4 linked regions of the Macaca fascicularis genome follow. The protein of the gene in region 2 interacts with the protein of the main gene of each other region in a biochemical or structural test. Links are inferred from orthologs where the notes say so. Each region holds a gene or a part of one and is shown on either strand. Other genes may lie near its edges.

Region 1 (4,244 bases), on a different chromosome or scaffold from region 2:
TTGGGCTTTACAGCACTTATGACCTGAAATTATATAAGTTACTTGTCTGTATCCCCAGCTCCATGGGAACAAACTCTTATACCAATATCTGCAATATATTAACTCAATAAATATATCTGTGCTATTATATAAACAAATTATCTTAATAAAGGGTAATGCAAATGGCACGTACACATGCATGGAAAGCAGATATTCCAAAGCTTGGCGATGAAAGTAAAAACTCATTTCCCTACCGAGGCCATGGGAAGGATAATTTATTAAAAGACGACACCTTTCTGGATGAATTACTTCAGCAAGGTACCTACCCATTCCTATTCCTCTCTGCTGCCACTAATGGGACTTCTGGTCTATAGAAAATGAGAAAGACGTAAAGGGTTCACTCTTAATATCCTGAGATAAAACTAAAACTACATTTTCCCATAGAAACAATATCACAAATAGCAGTCAGAAAACTAGTCACTAGTAACAGAAAAATGCTGGCCTGAAAAAAATATATAGCTCCAAATGAGAATTTATTCATTGGAACACAGGCTATTGTGCAGAAGCTGCTTACTTTTCTAAATGGCAATTGACAGATCCATCAGTATACGGCGGAAGCTGCTCCCATTCCCTATGCAGAGCATACTGCTAAGGGGAGATCTAGACTAAAGTCAAAGAGGTGGACCGTAACCACTTATGGTGATTTACCCACCCATTTATCCAACAAAGTCGGATGTTACAGTGGTGGCAAAGGACAAGCATGCAAAACCCATGATTATAAGCATGTTTTACTACATGGTTAGGTGACATTGTATTTTGTTCTACTTACAGCCAATTCAAAAAACCTTAAAGCATTTCACTATGCTTTATGTAAAATATAAATGCTGAAAGAGTGTTATAGCAATAAGCTACCTTTAGAAATTGCTGGGGAAATCACGGTCTGTGATGAGGTGGGACACTATGGGGCAGGGCAGAGTGATGATGGAATGGATTTGGACTGAACTACCATCAAGAGTCTATGGCCATACCACCCTGAATGTGCCTGCTTTTGTCTGAAATACCATGGGAAAAAAATAGGACTGGGTCTTAAATGTTTCCTAGTTCTGCCGGCTTTCTAAGGTACTTTTTCCACTTCTATAACATCAACTGTACTTATATACTGATGAATCAGAAAGAAATGAAGGTTAGGTGAAGGACAGGGAAGTGTAACCTGATATCAAAGGAACACCTGGCCTCATTGTGAGAAGGGGGTCATAAACAGGCCAACTCCCCTGTTCATACTAGTAGACTGCAAATTCAGCTCGTTTTGTTCTTCCTAACTAACCCCTGGATTACTATTCTTCCAGCCAGCCAACATACAGTACTTTTACTCTGCAAAGTCTGTGACAGGTACTGACTTTAACTTCCCGCTATTCTAAGTGACAGTCCATTTCTTTTTGAGGCACCAATACATCATCTTAGGGCATTAGTTCAACCCAGCCTCCTCTCCATTGGCAGTGTTTTCACTCTCCTTTTTATCTATGGGGAATCCTGCATTCACACCTACTCCAAACTCCACCTAGATTACCTATTAAAATAATCCCTTTCAAAGATTCCCAACATGCAGCTGCCTTTTAAAGTCAATTCCAACAGAAACATTTACTTAGGACAATCACACTGTAGTCACACTTCCGGAGGCACAGAATCACCTGGGGGAGCTAGTTAAAATACAACTGGCCCCACCCCCACAGTTTCTGATTCTTTAAGTCTGGACTGAAGCCCCATAATTTGCATAATTTGTAAGTTCTCAGGTGATGCTGAAGCTCCAGGTCCTGGGCAACTCTTTGAGAACGCTGATTTTGGAATATTTACATTTTACAGGTTATCACAACCTAAAACAGCTATTGCTCCATCCCAGGGGTAGTTCTTAATTCCTACTTTTTAGTAAGGGGTCTATGATTCTCAAGTACCGGTAGGGAAGAAGAGATAAGCTAGAGTTTGGGGTCATTAAAATTTTGAAGTGTGGGGGTAACGCTGGAAAAACGTCAAGGCTAATCAGGAAGAACAAGAGACGGAGGAAAAAAGAAAAGTCTTACACATTTTAGCATTTATAAGAAATTTCTCCATACACATCTTGGTTTAATGTGTCTTAGATAAAGCAGTACCACCATGAAAACTGCCTATTCTCCCCAGAGCACTCTCCCAACAGCACTGCCCAGCGCTCCGCAAAACTCGGCCAATCAGTGTCAAAACAGTCCTGCCAACCCGACAGGAGGAGGCGGTGGGCAGAGTGCTCCACAGCAACACCTAAAAAGGGCTGGGTTTGGAGAAAAGATGAACTCAGATTTGAATTGTAAGTAAAATTCCCACCTGCTCCCCAAGTCAGCGCACTTAAGGAAAAGAAATCACATCCTGAAAACACTAGCACAGGTTGCAAAAACTGCTTCTTGCGGACCAAGTGGGCTGAACAAACTGCACTGGAGAAGGAAGACGACACGAAAAGGTGCAAAGGTGGCCAACAGGTGCGCGAGCTGCTCCGCAAAGATCCTGGGAGCCCTGCTCCACTGGACCGGGGGGGTCAGTGGGGGCGGAGGGCGGGACCCGCCGTGAGGCGTCAGCCCCAGCCTGGTGGGGGTGAGGACGAGGGGCGCCGGGGAGGGGGAGCCCGGCCAGCCGGCAGGGGCGCCGCTCAGGCGGAAGAGGGGCGCCGAAGGCCCTCTCCTCACCTGGTTGAGTTCGTTCTCGGCTGCAATCCGCAACTTCGGGTCGATGGTGCCCTTCAGCGCCTGGATGATCCGGTTGAGGTCCATCTCCCCGGGTGGGGGCTCCGCGGCCCCCGGACCAGTAGGCCGGACTGCAGCTTTAGTTTTCTTTTGACCCTCTCAGCCTCCTCTTCCGCGACCCCTGGATTACCTCACACCCCAATCCCCGCCACCGTCGCCACCTGCGGCCACTTGCTGCGCCACTCTGACTCCGCGCCCCCTGTCCTCCCTTTTTCCCCCCCACAACTCGCTCTCCATTCACCCTTTTACGACAGCCGGTGGGAGGCGGGAGAAGGAAGAAGAGGAAGCAGAGCTTCCTTTACGGCGGCCTCTTCCCCCTGGCGTGATGGTATGACCGGCTTCCCTTGGCGGCCGCCATGCTGCTGTACGGAAAGCGGCCTCGGCTTCTTTCCCGAGGAAGAACCTGCGCTCCCGAACTCAGGCAGGCGGCCGCCATGCTTCCGTACTATTAGCAGCCTCCCGCCTCTTCCCAGATGAGGAAACTTGAGCTGGCCGGGAGTCTCCTTACAGCTGCTTCCAAATTAAGCATATCTGGATGGTGTGACACTTTCTGTTAGTCCGAGAACTGTATGGGCATCGCAACTGGGCCTGTTTCAAGACAGACTTGTTGGAACCTTCAAATCATGTACCTTACAGGTGAGCAGGGTTCCTCCGTGTGTGGGAGTCATCATTCATTCATTTGCTTTCACTGAACATTTGTTAAACATTTATTTTTGAACCAGAGTACTAGGATTTTTAGGTACCACATTATAACAAGATGAATTCCATGCAAGTTAATGTGAAGGAACTCACAACCTGAGAGATGAGACAAATATAAACAAAAAAAATTTACAGTGTAGAAATGATAGGGGAGTGCTGGGAATAGAAGAGCGTGGTCCCTTTAAATAATAGGGATGGGGGAAGTGAAGTGCTGGGTAGAGGAGAGTGTGGTCCCTGGCTAGGTTTCCACCCCCACCGACCTAGGTGAGGACTGGCACTCCAGCCTTCGGGCCCAAATGTTGCATTTCCCAAGACCACCCTGGCCTGCCACTCCCCCATCCTGTGCCTATGAAAACCCCAGACCCTAGCAGGCAGGCACACAGGCAGCCAGACGTCCAGAGGAGCATAAGGGTGGAAGAAGAGGAGCTCGCTGGCACATTCGCAGACCATCCACGGGCAGAACGATGCGGAGTTTGGCCCGGGCTGTCGGAAAAGAGCCCGAGGAAAACCATTTCCTTTCTGGGCCCCTCATCTGCTGAGAGCTACTTCCACTCAATAAAACTTTGCACTCATTCTCCAAGCCCACGTGTGATCCAATTCTTCTGGTATACCAAGGCAAGAACCCAGGATACATAAAGCTTGCTGTCCTTGCGACAAGGTAGAAGGTCTAATAGAGCTGGTTAACACAAGCTCCCTCTAGACAAACTAAAGGAGCAGCCTGTAACACACACCCACTGGGGCTTCAGGAGCTGTAAACATTCACCCGTAGACACTGCCAAGGGGTCGGAGCTCCACAGCCTTCCC
Region 2 (4,224 bases):
CTAATGATAAAATTTAAATGTCAGTACTATTTAAACCAAAGGCTACCAGAAGATTCATAATTTAAAATAACTAGAAAAATTTACAGGCTGGGTGCGGTGGCTCATGCATATAATTCCAGCACTTTGGGAGGCAGAGGCAGGTGGATCACGAGGTCAGGAGTTCAAGACCCACCTGACCAACTTGGTGAAATCACATCTCTACCCAAAATACAAAATTAGCCAGGCGTGGTGGCGCATGCCTGTAACACCAGTTACTCAGGAGGCTGAAGCAGGAGAAGCACTTGAACCCGGGAGAGGGAAGTTGCAGTGAGCTGAGATCGCGCCACTGCACTCCAGCCTGGGCAACAAGAGCAAAACTCCGTCTCAAAAAAAAAAAGAAAGAAAAAAGAAAAAGAAAAATTTACGTACGGCCAGGCACGGTGGCTCATGCCTGTAATCCCAACACTTTGGGAGGCTGACGCAGGCAGATCATGAGATCAGGAGATCGAGACCATCCTGGACAACATGGTGAAACCCAGCCTCTACTAAAAAATACAAAAATTAGCTGGGCCTGGTGGTGCATGCCTGTAATCCCAGCTACTCAGGAGGCTGAGGCAGGAGAATCGCTTGAACCAGGGAGTCAGAGGTTTCAGTGAGCCGAGATCGCACCATTGCACTCCAGAATGGTGAAAGAGCGAGACTCCATCTCAAAAACAAAAAAAAAAGAAAGAAAACAAAGAAAAATTTACATACGTTGAACATTATACAAAAGTAAAAAATGATTCAAAATATATCAACATTAAAATGGCATTAGGACCAGTGCACAAAACTGTTGACTGCAGTAACACGGTATTTTCCATTTCAATTATTCCTTAAAGCTTTATAGGAAGTATTTGAAACGCAAATCTTTTAAAGAATTTAACTGCTATTTAAATGTTTATACATTTTAAAACTTAGAAAACATAACTAAAATTTCATGATACTAATTAAATTCTAGTTTTTTTTTTTTTTAAATCTATCTTTACATGTCACAGTTCAAACAAATGAGCAGTTACTGTTAAAATTCTATGTGTTTGGCCGGGCGCAGTGGCTCACACCTGTAATCCCAGCACTTTGGGAAGCTGAGATGGGTGGATCGCCTGAGGTCAGGTGGTCGAGACCAGCCTGGTCCAACATGGTGAAACCCTGTCTCTACTAAAAATACAAAAATTAGCCAGGTATAGTGGCACGTGCCCATAATCCCAGCTACTCGGGAGGCTGACTCAGGAGAATTGCTTGAACCTGGGAGGCAGAGGTTGCAGTGAGCCAAGGTAGTGTCACTGCATTCCAGCCTGGGCAACAGAGCAAAACTCCGTATCAAAAAAAAAAAATAAATAAATTACATGTGTTCATTTTTAAAAGTTAAAGGTTATAATTTCAATTTAAACTGTAGCTTTAATAAGGTCATTTTGTTTTCTGTAACAACTTCTTATCCAACAGATTTTTTTTCTTTTTCTTTTTCTTTTTTTTTTGCCTTCAGAGGAGGGTATCACTGTTAACTTAGGCTGGAGTGCAGGGATGCAATCATAGCTCACTGCAGTCTCAAACTCCTAGGCTCAAGAGATGCTCCTGAATAGCTGGGACTACAGGCATGCCCAGAAAATTTTTAGAGACAGGTCTCACTATATTGCTCAGCCTGGTCTCAAACTCTTGGCCTCAAGTGATCCTCCTGCCTCAGCCTTCGAAATTGCTAGGATTACAGGCGTGAGCCACCACGTCTGCCTTTTTATGTACTAAGGTTTTAAAATCACCTTTCAAAAGAAAATATTTTGAAGAAATATATGCCTTAAAAAAATTTACAAAACCAGGTATAGTCAGTTTCTTATGTCCCCAGGATTACAGAGTGGAATACAACCTTCTATTTACTTAGTTTAAGTTAATAAACTATCAAGCTTCCAAACCTAAAAGGATCTACTGAGTTCCAAGTCAAAGCTAAATGGGAAAATAGAAAAACAGTAAAATTAAAATAAAAAGATCTATATTATTTAACCTAGTAATTAGACTTCTAAGAGACAATACATCTATCAACAGATATACCCAAAAGGTAATAGATAAACCATGGCATTTATAATGTAAGCACTAAACATGTTTGTAAGAATTACTTTAAAAGTAATACAAATGTGGAGAAAAGCAGATTACAGAACCATATAAAAATGAGCACTTAAAAAAAAAAAAAAAAAAAAAAAAAAAAAAAAAAAAAGGCCAGGCGTGGTGGTTCATGCCTGTAATCCCAGCACTTTGAGAGGCCCAGGTGGGCGGATCATGAGGTCAGGAGTTTAAGACCAGCCTGGCCAACATGGTGAAACCCATCTCTACTAAAAATACAAAAATTAGCCAGGCGTGGTGGCATGTGCCTGTAATCCCAGGTATCTGGAGGCTGAGGCGGGACAATCGCTGGAACCCAGGAGGAGGAGGCTGCAGTGAGCCGAGACCACGCCACTACACTCCAGCCTGGCAACAGAGCAAGACTCTGTCTCAAAAAAAAAAAAAAAAGAAAAGAAAAGAAAAAAGAAGCACTATTTTTGTGCTTTTGACCTATATTAAGAAGTCCTAAATAAACTGTAGTACATCCAGAAAATGAAACATTACTGAGTGCTAAAATAAAATGAGTTATCAAGCCATAAAAAGACATAGAAGGAACTTAAATGCATATTACTAAGTGAAAGAAGCTAAGCTGAAAAGGCTACGTACTGTATGATTGTAACTCTGTGATATTCTGGAAAAGACAAAAAGATCAGTGGTTGGTGGGAAGGGTATAAACAAGCAGAACAGAGAGGATTTTTAGGGCAGTAAATTATTCTGTACGATATTATAATCATAGATATATGTCATTATACATTTGACAAAACCCACAGAATGTACAACATGAAGAGTGAACCCTAATGTAAAGTATGAACTTTGGGTGACAATAATGTCAATTTAGGTTCATCAATTCTAACAAATGTGCCATTCTGTTGCAGGATGTTGACAGTGGGAAAGCTGTTCCTGCACAGGGGCAAGGAGTAAGTTACAGGAACTGTAATTTCTGCTCAATTTTGCTCTGAACCTAAAACTGCTCTAAGAAAATTAAGTAGTTAGTTTTTGAGACAGGGTCTCGCTCTGATACCCAGGCTGCAGTGCTGTGGCACAATCACAGCTCACTGCAGTCTCGACCTCCAGGGCTCAATCAATCCTCCCGCCCAAGCCTCCTGAGTAGCTGGGACTACAGGTGCATGCCACCACACCTGGCTAGTTTTTTGTATTAATATTTTTAGTAGAGACAGGGTTTCACCATGTTGCCTAAGTTAGTCTTGAATTCCCGGGCTTACGCAATTCACCCACCTCAGCCTCCCAAAGTATTGAGGTTTCAGGCATGAGCTACTGCACCCAGCTGAAAATTAAGTATTTAAAGGGAAAAACGAAAAGGTACGAAGAGGGATATGGTTTAAAAAAAAAAAAAAAAAGTTCACTTTCAGAGAACACTTAGTTGTTGAGATTACAGATTATTTTTTTCACACTGATCTAAATATTCCAAATGTATTATAACAAAGTTATATTAAAGCCCAAATAAACATCTGAAACTACTCCTGGATGGCTCAGTGTATTCCAATAATCTGCCCATCCCTTCCTACGTGAATATCATATTTTTGTAAATTTCTTTTTTCTTTTTTTAGACAGCATCTTGCTCTGTCACCCAGGCTGAAGTGCAATGGCGCAATCTTGGCTCACTGCAACCTCCACTTTCCGGGTTCAAGCAATTCTCCTGCCTCAGCCTCCCAAGTAGCTGGGATTACAGGCACCCACCACCACGTCCAGCTAATTTTTTTGTATTTTTAGTAGAGATGGGTTTTCGCCATGTTGGTCAGGCTGATCTCGAACTCCTGACCTCAGGTGATCCACCTGCCTCAGCCTCCCAAAGTGCTACTATTATAGAGTCACTGCGCCCAGCCATTACTTTTAACAATGTTTTTCTTCATGATATGGTAAGTTCCCCATTCGCCTTTGCTCTTCCTTTTTAAAACTTTGCTTCTGCTCAGGCCTGTAATCCCAGCACTTTGGGAGGCCAAGGCGGGCAGATTCCCTGAGGTCAGGAGTTTGAGACCAGCCTGGCCAACACAGTGAAAACTCGTCTCTACTAAAAACATAAAAATTAGCTGGGTATAGTGGTTGGCGCCTGTAATCCCAGCTAGGCTGAGGTGGGATAATCACTTGAACCTAGGAGGCAGA
Region 3 (3,695 bases), on a different chromosome or scaffold from region 2:
GCTGGACCAGAACTCCTGGGCTTAAGGGATCCTATCGCCTTAGCCTCTTGAGTAGCTGGAATTACAGGCATGAGCCATGAGGCCCAGCACAAAGTCTGCTTTTGAAAACAAAATTGTGTCTTAGTGATAACTTACAGATAATATAAGCCCTTATGTGTCTTCACACTGAGGATGCTTTTCATTTCTCAGCCCCTTTTTATCATTCCTTTCCCTCAAAAGGCCTGGCTTAGGTATGCTATCTGCCACTGCCACAGTTAATTTTTATCCTAGTAATAACAAAATGGTTCCAATTATTTTACCCTTCTGAAAAGATTTGTATTAAGTGTCACTTTAATTTCCTTTTCTAATGTTGCTTTTTTTATGTTGCTTTTTTTAAGTACTCACTTGAAATTCCTACTCTATGTTTCACTTATTTTTGATTGACAAATTATGATTGTATATGTTTATGGGGTACAATGTGATGTTTTGATATATGTGTCCAATGTGGAATGAATGAATCAAATTAATTAACATATCTATCACCTCACTTACCTTTTTTTATGGTAAGACATTTGATTAATTTTGCTTTTGTAGTTTGTCATAAAACCACTGTCACCGTTTCATTATAATTAAAGATAATTGGGTATGCTACCCCGAGGGAAACCAGCATTCAAAATACATCCCCCTCCATGTTTTTTATTATTTGTGAGAGAATGTCTCATTAATAATTTCAGAGCATTTTGGATTTCAAAATATTTGCCTTAGACCTTCTTGCCTCCTCTTCTCTTGTAGAGCCATATGGGTCCTTTGTACTCAGAAAATTGAAAATGAGCCAAGTGCAGTGGCTCATGCCTGTAATCCTACCATTTTGGGAGGCCAAGGCAGAAGGATTGCTTGAGCCCAGGAGTTCAAGACCAACTTGGGCAATATAGTGAGACCTTGTCTCTATTATTTAAAAAACTAAAAATTAAGAAGAAGAAGAAAGAGGCCAGGAGTGGTGGCTCATGCCTGTAATCCAAGCAGTTTGGGAGGCTGAGGCAGGTGGATCGCCTGAGGTCAGGAGTTCGAGACAAGCCTGACCAACATTGTGAAGCCCCATCTCTGCTAAAAATACACAAAAAGATCAGTCAGGCGTGGTGGCAAGCACCTGTAGTCCCAGCAACTTGGGAGGCTGAGACAGGATAATCGCTTGAACCTGGGAGACAGAGGTTGCAGTGAGCTGAGATCATGCCACTGCACTCCAGCCTGGGCGATAGAGCGAGACTCTGTCTCACAAAAAAAAAAGAAAAAAGAAAGAAAGAAAATTAAAGATAATTCTATGTTAACTCCTTAAATGTAATTCCTAGTTCTTCTATCATCTTTAGCCGACTCTTCTACCTTCAGAGTGGACACTGCTGTTATCAAGCAGAGAGTGCCGATCTTACTCAAGTACCTAGACTCAGATACAGAGAAGGAACTGCAAGCACTTTATGCACTACAAGCATCGATAGTAAAACTCGATCAACCTGCCAGTAAGTTTATCTCATGTTACAGTTAATCCAACCAATGAGTGAGATTTATCCAAGCCAGGACTTAGAGATGATTTAGGGTTTGAACATTGGACAATAAAAGAATCACTAATAACAAAAACTCATATAACTAACTTTAATAAATCTGAATTTGGCCGGGTGCAGTAGCTCGCGCCTGTAATCCCAGCACTTTGGGAGGCCACGGCGGGCAGCTCACTTGAGGTCAAGAGTTCAAGACCAGCCTGGCCATCATGGTGAAAACCCGTCCCTACTAAAAATACAGAAATTGGCCAGGCACAGTGGCTCACGACTGTAATCCCAGCACTTTGGAAGGCCAAGGCGGATGGATCATGAGGTCAGGAGATCGAGACCATCCTAGCTAACACAGTGAAACCCCGTCTCCACTAAAAATACAAAACATTAGCCGGGTGTGGTGGCACGCGTCTGTAATGCCAGCTACTTGGTAGGCTGAAGCAGGAGAACCGCTTGAACACAGGAGGCGGAGGTTACAGTGATCCAAGATCACGCCACTGCACTCCAGCCTGGCGACAGAGTGAGACTGTCTCAAAAAAAAAAAAAAAAAAAAATACAAAAATGGGCTAGGTGGCGTGTGCCTGTAGTCCCAGCTACTCGGGAAGCTGAGGCAAGAGAATCACTTGAACCTGGGAGGCGGAGTTTGCAGTGAGCCAAGATTGTGCCACTGCACTCCAGCCTGGGCAACAGAGCAAGACTCCATCCAAAAAAAAAAGAATTTGTTATATGCTTGTATGAAAAGATCACAACAAGAAAACTATTTAGATTAGGTTATTTCATCCCCATTCCAGGGCAGGCCTAACAAAACTTTCTACAATGATGGAAGTATATTCATACCATTGAGTATGGTAACCATGAGCCACATGTGGCAGTTCTATACTTAAATGTGTCTGTTGTGACTTAGGAACTGAATTATTGACTTTAAATTTAAATAGCCATGTTTGGCTAGTAGCTTCCATATTGGACATCACAGGTCTAGGGCATGAAGATGGTTAATGATGTTGAGGATGATACTCTAGAATCTTTAGACACCCAACAAAGACCCTAAGTATAGTTTATTTACCATGGTATATTTACTAAGGAGTTTCAGAATCGTTTTTAGTTAAGTGTTATGATTAATTCTTGGCTAATGAAACAAAGTAACCTGTACACTTAAGTCTTAGTGATACTCAGTGTTAACTAGTGATTTTTATTACATCTTGAAAATTCAGTTGGAATTTGTTAAAGTGGGCAGTACATAGCTATGAGAGAGAGCACTCAAGTAGTTCTTTGGTACTTCCTTAGTTTTGCTTTTGTAAAATTCCTTCTTCCCTAGTCCTGCTGAATCACTCTGGGAGATAAAGGAAAAGATCAAAGCAAATTATCCTTATAGTATAATTGAAGAGTCAATCTACCGTGAATCAGATAATTTGATAATATTAGCTTGACTAATATAATTACAAAGATAAATCTTTTAAAAAAGGCTGAGGCATGTGGATCACCTGAGATCAGGAGTTTGAGACCAGCCTGGCCAATATGGTGAAACCCCGTCTCTACTTAAAATACAAAAATTAGCTGACCGTGGTGGCGGGTGCCTGTAATCCCAGGTACTTGGGAGGCTGAGGCAGGAAAGTTGCTTAAACCCACAAGGTGGAGGTTGCAGTGAGCCAAGATCACACCACTGCACTCCAACCTGGGGACAGAACAAGATTGTCTCTCAAAAAAAAAAAAAAAAAAAGGAAAAAGAAAGGAAGTTCAAATTGAACAAAATAATAGGAATAAAAAATAATTTAGACTGCTTCAATATTTTTTTCCTCTCCTTTGAACAAGTTGTTGGGCTGTTTATACTGTCAAGAGCAAGTATGGTGAATTGTCATTATTGCTTTTTTCTGGGGGAATTAATGCACATTTATTCAGTCATTCATTATTTTGAAATACATTCTTTTCCTCATAACTACAGTGTCCCAAAGCTTATAGTTTATTTTCACCTCCTTGCAGATTTGCTGCGAATGTTTTTTGATTGCCTGTATGATGAGGAGGTGATCTCCGAGGATGCCTTCTACAAATGGGAGAGCAGCAAGGACCCTGCAGAGCAGAATGGGAAGGGCGTGGCCCTGAAATCTGTCACGGCATTCTTCACGTGGCTGCGGGAAGCAGAAGAGGAGTCTGAGGATAACTAAAACTTCAAATACACAA
Region 4 (4,275 bases), on a different chromosome or scaffold from region 2:
ATATTTGGCTTTCATGGACTGATTCTCTAAAGGCCTGGGAGTACTGACCAGGCTGGAGGGAAGGGCAGGCTCCTGAGGCCTCTTACAGTCCCTAGGAAGTTGGGTATCCACCCAACCCTTGACCTCCAGCCCGCATACTATAAGGTTTACAAGAGCCAGGCCCTATCATCATCCTTTCTAGTCTGTTTCTAAGTTGGAACAGAGTACAGAATGGGTACACAGGAGCCAGCACAGTGGTTGCGATGGTTTAAGTTTGAAGCCAGGGGCACTGGCCCAGTGAGGTCACCTGGAGCTGTGCCCTTTCCCCCTCACCAGCTGGGAGTCTGGCATGCTTTTCCACTGGTGAAGACCTACCTGGCTCTCCCCTCTCCCTCTTCATACCCGCTCTCCAGCTCTCCCCCTCCCTCCTGCCCCCACCACCTCACATCCACCAGCCTTTCCAGCTGTCACTCAAGGCGTCACCCTGCTCCCTCACCTCCAGTCACTGGCTTCCCAGGATCTCTGACTCAAGACCCTCCTCTGCATCCCACAGCCACTGTCCTAGACAAGGGTATGTGCCCCTAGGTTGTTAGAGTGACCGTCCCATCATGCACAGCTGATCATGTTGTTTCCTGGTTCCAGATCCTTCACCAACTTCCCATCACTCCCAGAACTGGTCCAATCTCCTTAGTTAGGATCTTGTCCCAGCACACTTCTTGGGCATCATTTCTCATGAATTCCCTCTTAAATCTGAAAACGGCCAAAACTAGTTCCCAAACAGGCTTTCGTGTTTCAAACTTCCATGCCTTTTGCAAGAGCTATCTTTCGTGTTTCCAGTGTCCCCTGGACCCCACCACCTACAGCCCTGAATCCCTGGTGAATTCCCACTGCTTTTTCAGGTCCCAGCTGAGGGCTCTCCTTTCCAGAATGTCTCCGTTTGCAAGCTTGCTCTTCCATTACATCTGGGGCTCTTAAAAAGCAGGGGCTGCGTGTGGCTCATCTTTGTGCGCCCAGCTCCCGGCAGGAGGTGGCACGAAGCAGTGCCAGTGTGAACTGATGAATGGATCAAACCCGGGGGCGGGGCTGCCCCTCTGCAGCTCTGCCCTGCCTCTCCCGCTTTACCGTAAGCCAGCAGTAGGTCTGCGGCTCCCCGCCTCTCCTTCCTCCCCGCTCTGGGCGTGTCTTTAAAACCCACAGTCGGCCTCTCTGCCCCTAGAACCGCCCCCAGTTTGTGTCTCACTTCCTCTCCAGAGGCGGGCCCTGAGCTGGCACCTCCCCTTTCGGACAGCTCAAGGGGCTCAGCCAACTGGCTCACGCCTCCCCTTTAGTTTCTTTTCACGCCCTCCAAGATCTAAACCGAGAATCGAAACTAAGCTGAGGTCCATGGAGCCTGCACCCGCCCGATCTCCGAGGCCCCAGCAGGACCCCGCCCGGCCCCACGCGCCCACCATGCCTCCCCCCGAGACCCCCTCGGAAGGCCGTCAGCCCAGCCCCAGCCACAGCCCTACAGAGGTACTATTGGGTTAGGGGATGATGGGGTTAGGCTTTGTTGGTTTGCTGTGGTGGGGAGAGTGGGGAAGAGAGGGTCTAACGGAGGATTTGGTCAAGTACGCTAGAGAGTGACACAAAGCGGGAAGACCACACACCAGGGTCCTGACCTTCTTGGCTGGGGCATGGGAGGGTAGGATAGAGTAGAAAAGAGGACCCGGAGGAGTTGGGGCGGCCTCGCTGGGCTGCGGTTTCTCCACGGAGCAGTTGGGCAAGGTGAGAAGGGTCAGTGGCCTCCGGGCCTGGGCCCTTCCGCCCACCCTCGAGCCCTGGTCAACCCTGCCTCAGATGCAGGACCACAGATTAGGGAGGATGGAAGTGGTAGCCCTGTTGCGCTGGCCTGGAGCCAGGAGCATGTCCCAGGCACAGCAAAACTAAAACCAACTTCCCAGATCCGAGGTGAGAAACTGTGGCTCAGACTGAAGAGGTATCTTTGCCAAGGCCTCCCAGCTCATGTGGTTTCTGCTTAAGGAAGCCTCCCTAACAAACCCTTCTCTTGCCACACCTGTCCTGCCTACCTCCCACCTCCACCCCCAAAGGAACTACTTGGGTTTCTTGTTCTGCTGTCTTCCAGGCCCTTTTGCTCCCCTTCATGAAAGTACAGAGGACACTGTATTACAGTAACTTTTATAAGCATTATTACAACTAAGAATAACATTACTTAACAACACTAGCTAACATTTATGAGCACTTCAAATGTGCCAGGTACTGTATTAAGCACTTTGGTTTTTTGTTGTTTGTTTTGTTTTGTTTTTTGTTTGTTTGTTTATCTGTTTGTTTTTGAGATGGAGTCTTGCACTGTCGCCCAGGCTGGAGTGCAATGGTGCGATCTCTGCTCGCTGCAACCTCCTCCTCCCGGGTTGACGTGATTCTCCTGCCTCAGCCTTCTGAGTAGCTGGGATTACAGGCCACACCACTATACCTGGCTGATTTTTATATTTTTAGTAGAGATGGGGTTTCACTATGTTGGCCAGATTGGTCTCTAACTTCTGACCTCGTGATCTGCCCAACTCGGCCTCCCAAAGTGCTGGGATTACAGGCGTCAGCCACCATGCCCGGACTGCTTTTGTATTTTAAAAATTGTGGTAAAATATACGTAACGGATAAGCTCCTATGTTAACCATTTCTAAGTGTAACGTTCAGTGGCATTAAGTAGATTCACAATATTGTGTAACCATCACCACCATCTATTTTCAGAACTTTTTAATTGCTCCAGAAACTCTGTACCCTTTAAACCATAGGGGAGGGAAAGATGGCTTCCCTCCACCCTTCTAGTTTCCTTGGCTGGGCTATGAATTAAATAGTCATAAAATAGATTAACAGGGGGAAAACCCATATTTAATTACATATGTATACTCAGGAGTCCCACAAAGTATGAGACTCAAAGAAAGGTCAGATGATTGAAGCCTATATAACATCCTGATCCACAGAAAAGAGCTTGGAGCTTCTGGGTGGTGGTGATGACACAAGTTATGGGAGGGTGAGGAGAGGAGCTGTTGTCTTGCTATGTAGATAAAAAGTTCTTAGATAATAAGAGTTGTCTGGAGCAGCCCTCTTTTAATATAGACCATTTTACTAATGTAGATTTTCTTTGGGATGCAAATGCCTTTCTGTTTTACAAAAGGAGAGCTTTTCAGAGCTATTCCTGTATCAGCAGTTTCTCAGAATAACCAGCTTAAAATATGCCAACAAAGTATATTTCAAGGGTGGCATATTCTGGCCTCCTGCAGTCATATTTTGAAGTGGTGTGTCCTGAGTCTCAGTAAAGCAATAGCTCCTCATTTTCTCCTTCCCCTAGCCCTTGGTAACTTCTAATCTACCTTCTGTCCCTACGAGCTTACTTATTCTAGATATTTCATATAAGTGGAATTGTTACCAGTAGACGGTCTTGACCGCAAGTTGTTCAGGTTCTTGGCGTTTTGAACAAAGAATTGGACAAAATGCACAGCAAAGCAAGGAAAGAATGAAGCAATGAAAGCAGAGATTTATGGAAAATGAAAGTACACTCCACAGGGTGGGATGGGTTGGAGCAGGGCTCAAGGGCCCAAGTTACAGAATCTTCTGGGTTCCAAATATGCCCTAGAGGTTTCCCATTGGCCACTTGGTGTTCACCCCATTGGTTGTAGAAAGCAACCAATCAGAGGTGCTTTCAATTTTCCATCTGCCAGGCAGGAAATGGGGTGTTTTGCAAAGAGAGTAGCCTCTGGTCCTTTTGTTACTTGGGCGTGGAGAGTTCGGGTTTTCCTTTGGATTTAGTTCTAGGAAGTCAGAGGGAATCGGCCTTAGGTTCCCTGCCTCCAGACCCTATTCTCCTGCCTCAGAATCATACAGTATTTGACCTTTTGTGTGTGGCTTATTTCACTTAGCATAATGTCATTGAGGTCCATCTATGTTGTAGCATGATCAGAATTTCATTTCTTTCTAATGCTGAATAATATTCCATTATATGTGTAGACCACATTTTGTTTATCTATTCATCTGTTGATGGATACTTGGATTGTTTCTACATTTTGACTATTGTGAATAATGTTGCTCTGGACATTGTTGTACAAGTATCTGTTTGGGTCCTTGTTTTTAGATCTTTTGGTTATATATGTAAGAGTGAAATTGCTGGGTCATATGATTGTTCCATGCTTACCTCTTTGATGAACCCCCAAACTGTGCATTAAGCACTTTATATGAGGTTGGTACTTACTGTATCTACCTTCCAAACTGAGTTCCTTGAAGGCAGAATGTATCCTATACCTC

The links.
Region 1: the proteins of EIF4E (region 2) and IPO8 form a complex in vitro, tested with the Homo sapiens proteins (2 studies listed by BioGRID and IntAct, with this or other methods). The link is inferred for Macaca fascicularis from reciprocal best matches to the Homo sapiens genes EIF4E and IPO8.
Region 3: the proteins of EIF4E (region 2) and EIF4G3 form a complex in vitro, tested with the Homo sapiens proteins (3 studies listed by BioGRID and IntAct, with this or other methods). The link is inferred for Macaca fascicularis from reciprocal best matches to the Homo sapiens genes EIF4E and EIF4G3.
Region 4: the proteins of EIF4E (region 2) and PML form a complex in vitro, tested with the Homo sapiens proteins (4 studies listed by BioGRID and IntAct). The link is inferred for Macaca fascicularis from reciprocal best matches to the Homo sapiens genes EIF4E and PML.

The regions. Positions count from the first base shown.
Region 1 is NC_088385.1:33,483,078-33,487,321, forward strand, and holds the start of IPO8 (importin-8), read right to left. Parts: upstream 2,991-4,244; 5' UTR 2,769-2,990; coding exon 2,685-2,768; intron 1-2,684. UniProt on the Homo sapiens protein: Involved in nuclear protein import, either by acting as autonomous nuclear transport receptor or as an adapter-like protein in association with the importin-beta subunit KPNB1.
Region 2 is NC_088379.1:104,497,258-104,501,481, forward strand, and holds the start of EIF4E (eukaryotic translation initiation factor 4E), read right to left. Parts: upstream 2,853-4,224; 5' UTR 2,838-2,852; coding exon 2,710-2,837; intron 1-2,709. UniProt on the Homo sapiens protein: Acts in the cytoplasm to initiate and regulate protein synthesis and is required in the nucleus for export of a subset of mRNAs from the nucleus to the cytoplasm which promotes processes such as RNA capping, processing and splicing.
Region 3 is NC_088375.1:214,258,420-214,262,114, forward strand, and holds part of EIF4G3 (eukaryotic translation initiation factor 4 gamma 3), read left to right. Parts: intron 1-1,343; coding exon 1,344-1,490; intron 1,491-3,497; coding exon 3,498-3,679; 3' UTR 3,680-3,695. UniProt on the Homo sapiens protein: Component of the protein complex eIF4F, which is involved in the recognition of the mRNA cap, ATP-dependent unwinding of 5'-terminal secondary structure and recruitment of mRNA to the ribosome. Functional homolog of EIF4G1.
Region 4 is NC_088381.1:50,917,804-50,922,078, forward strand, and holds the start of PML (protein PML), read left to right. Parts: upstream 1-1,332; 5' UTR 1,333-1,362; coding exon 1,363-1,491; intron 1,492-4,275.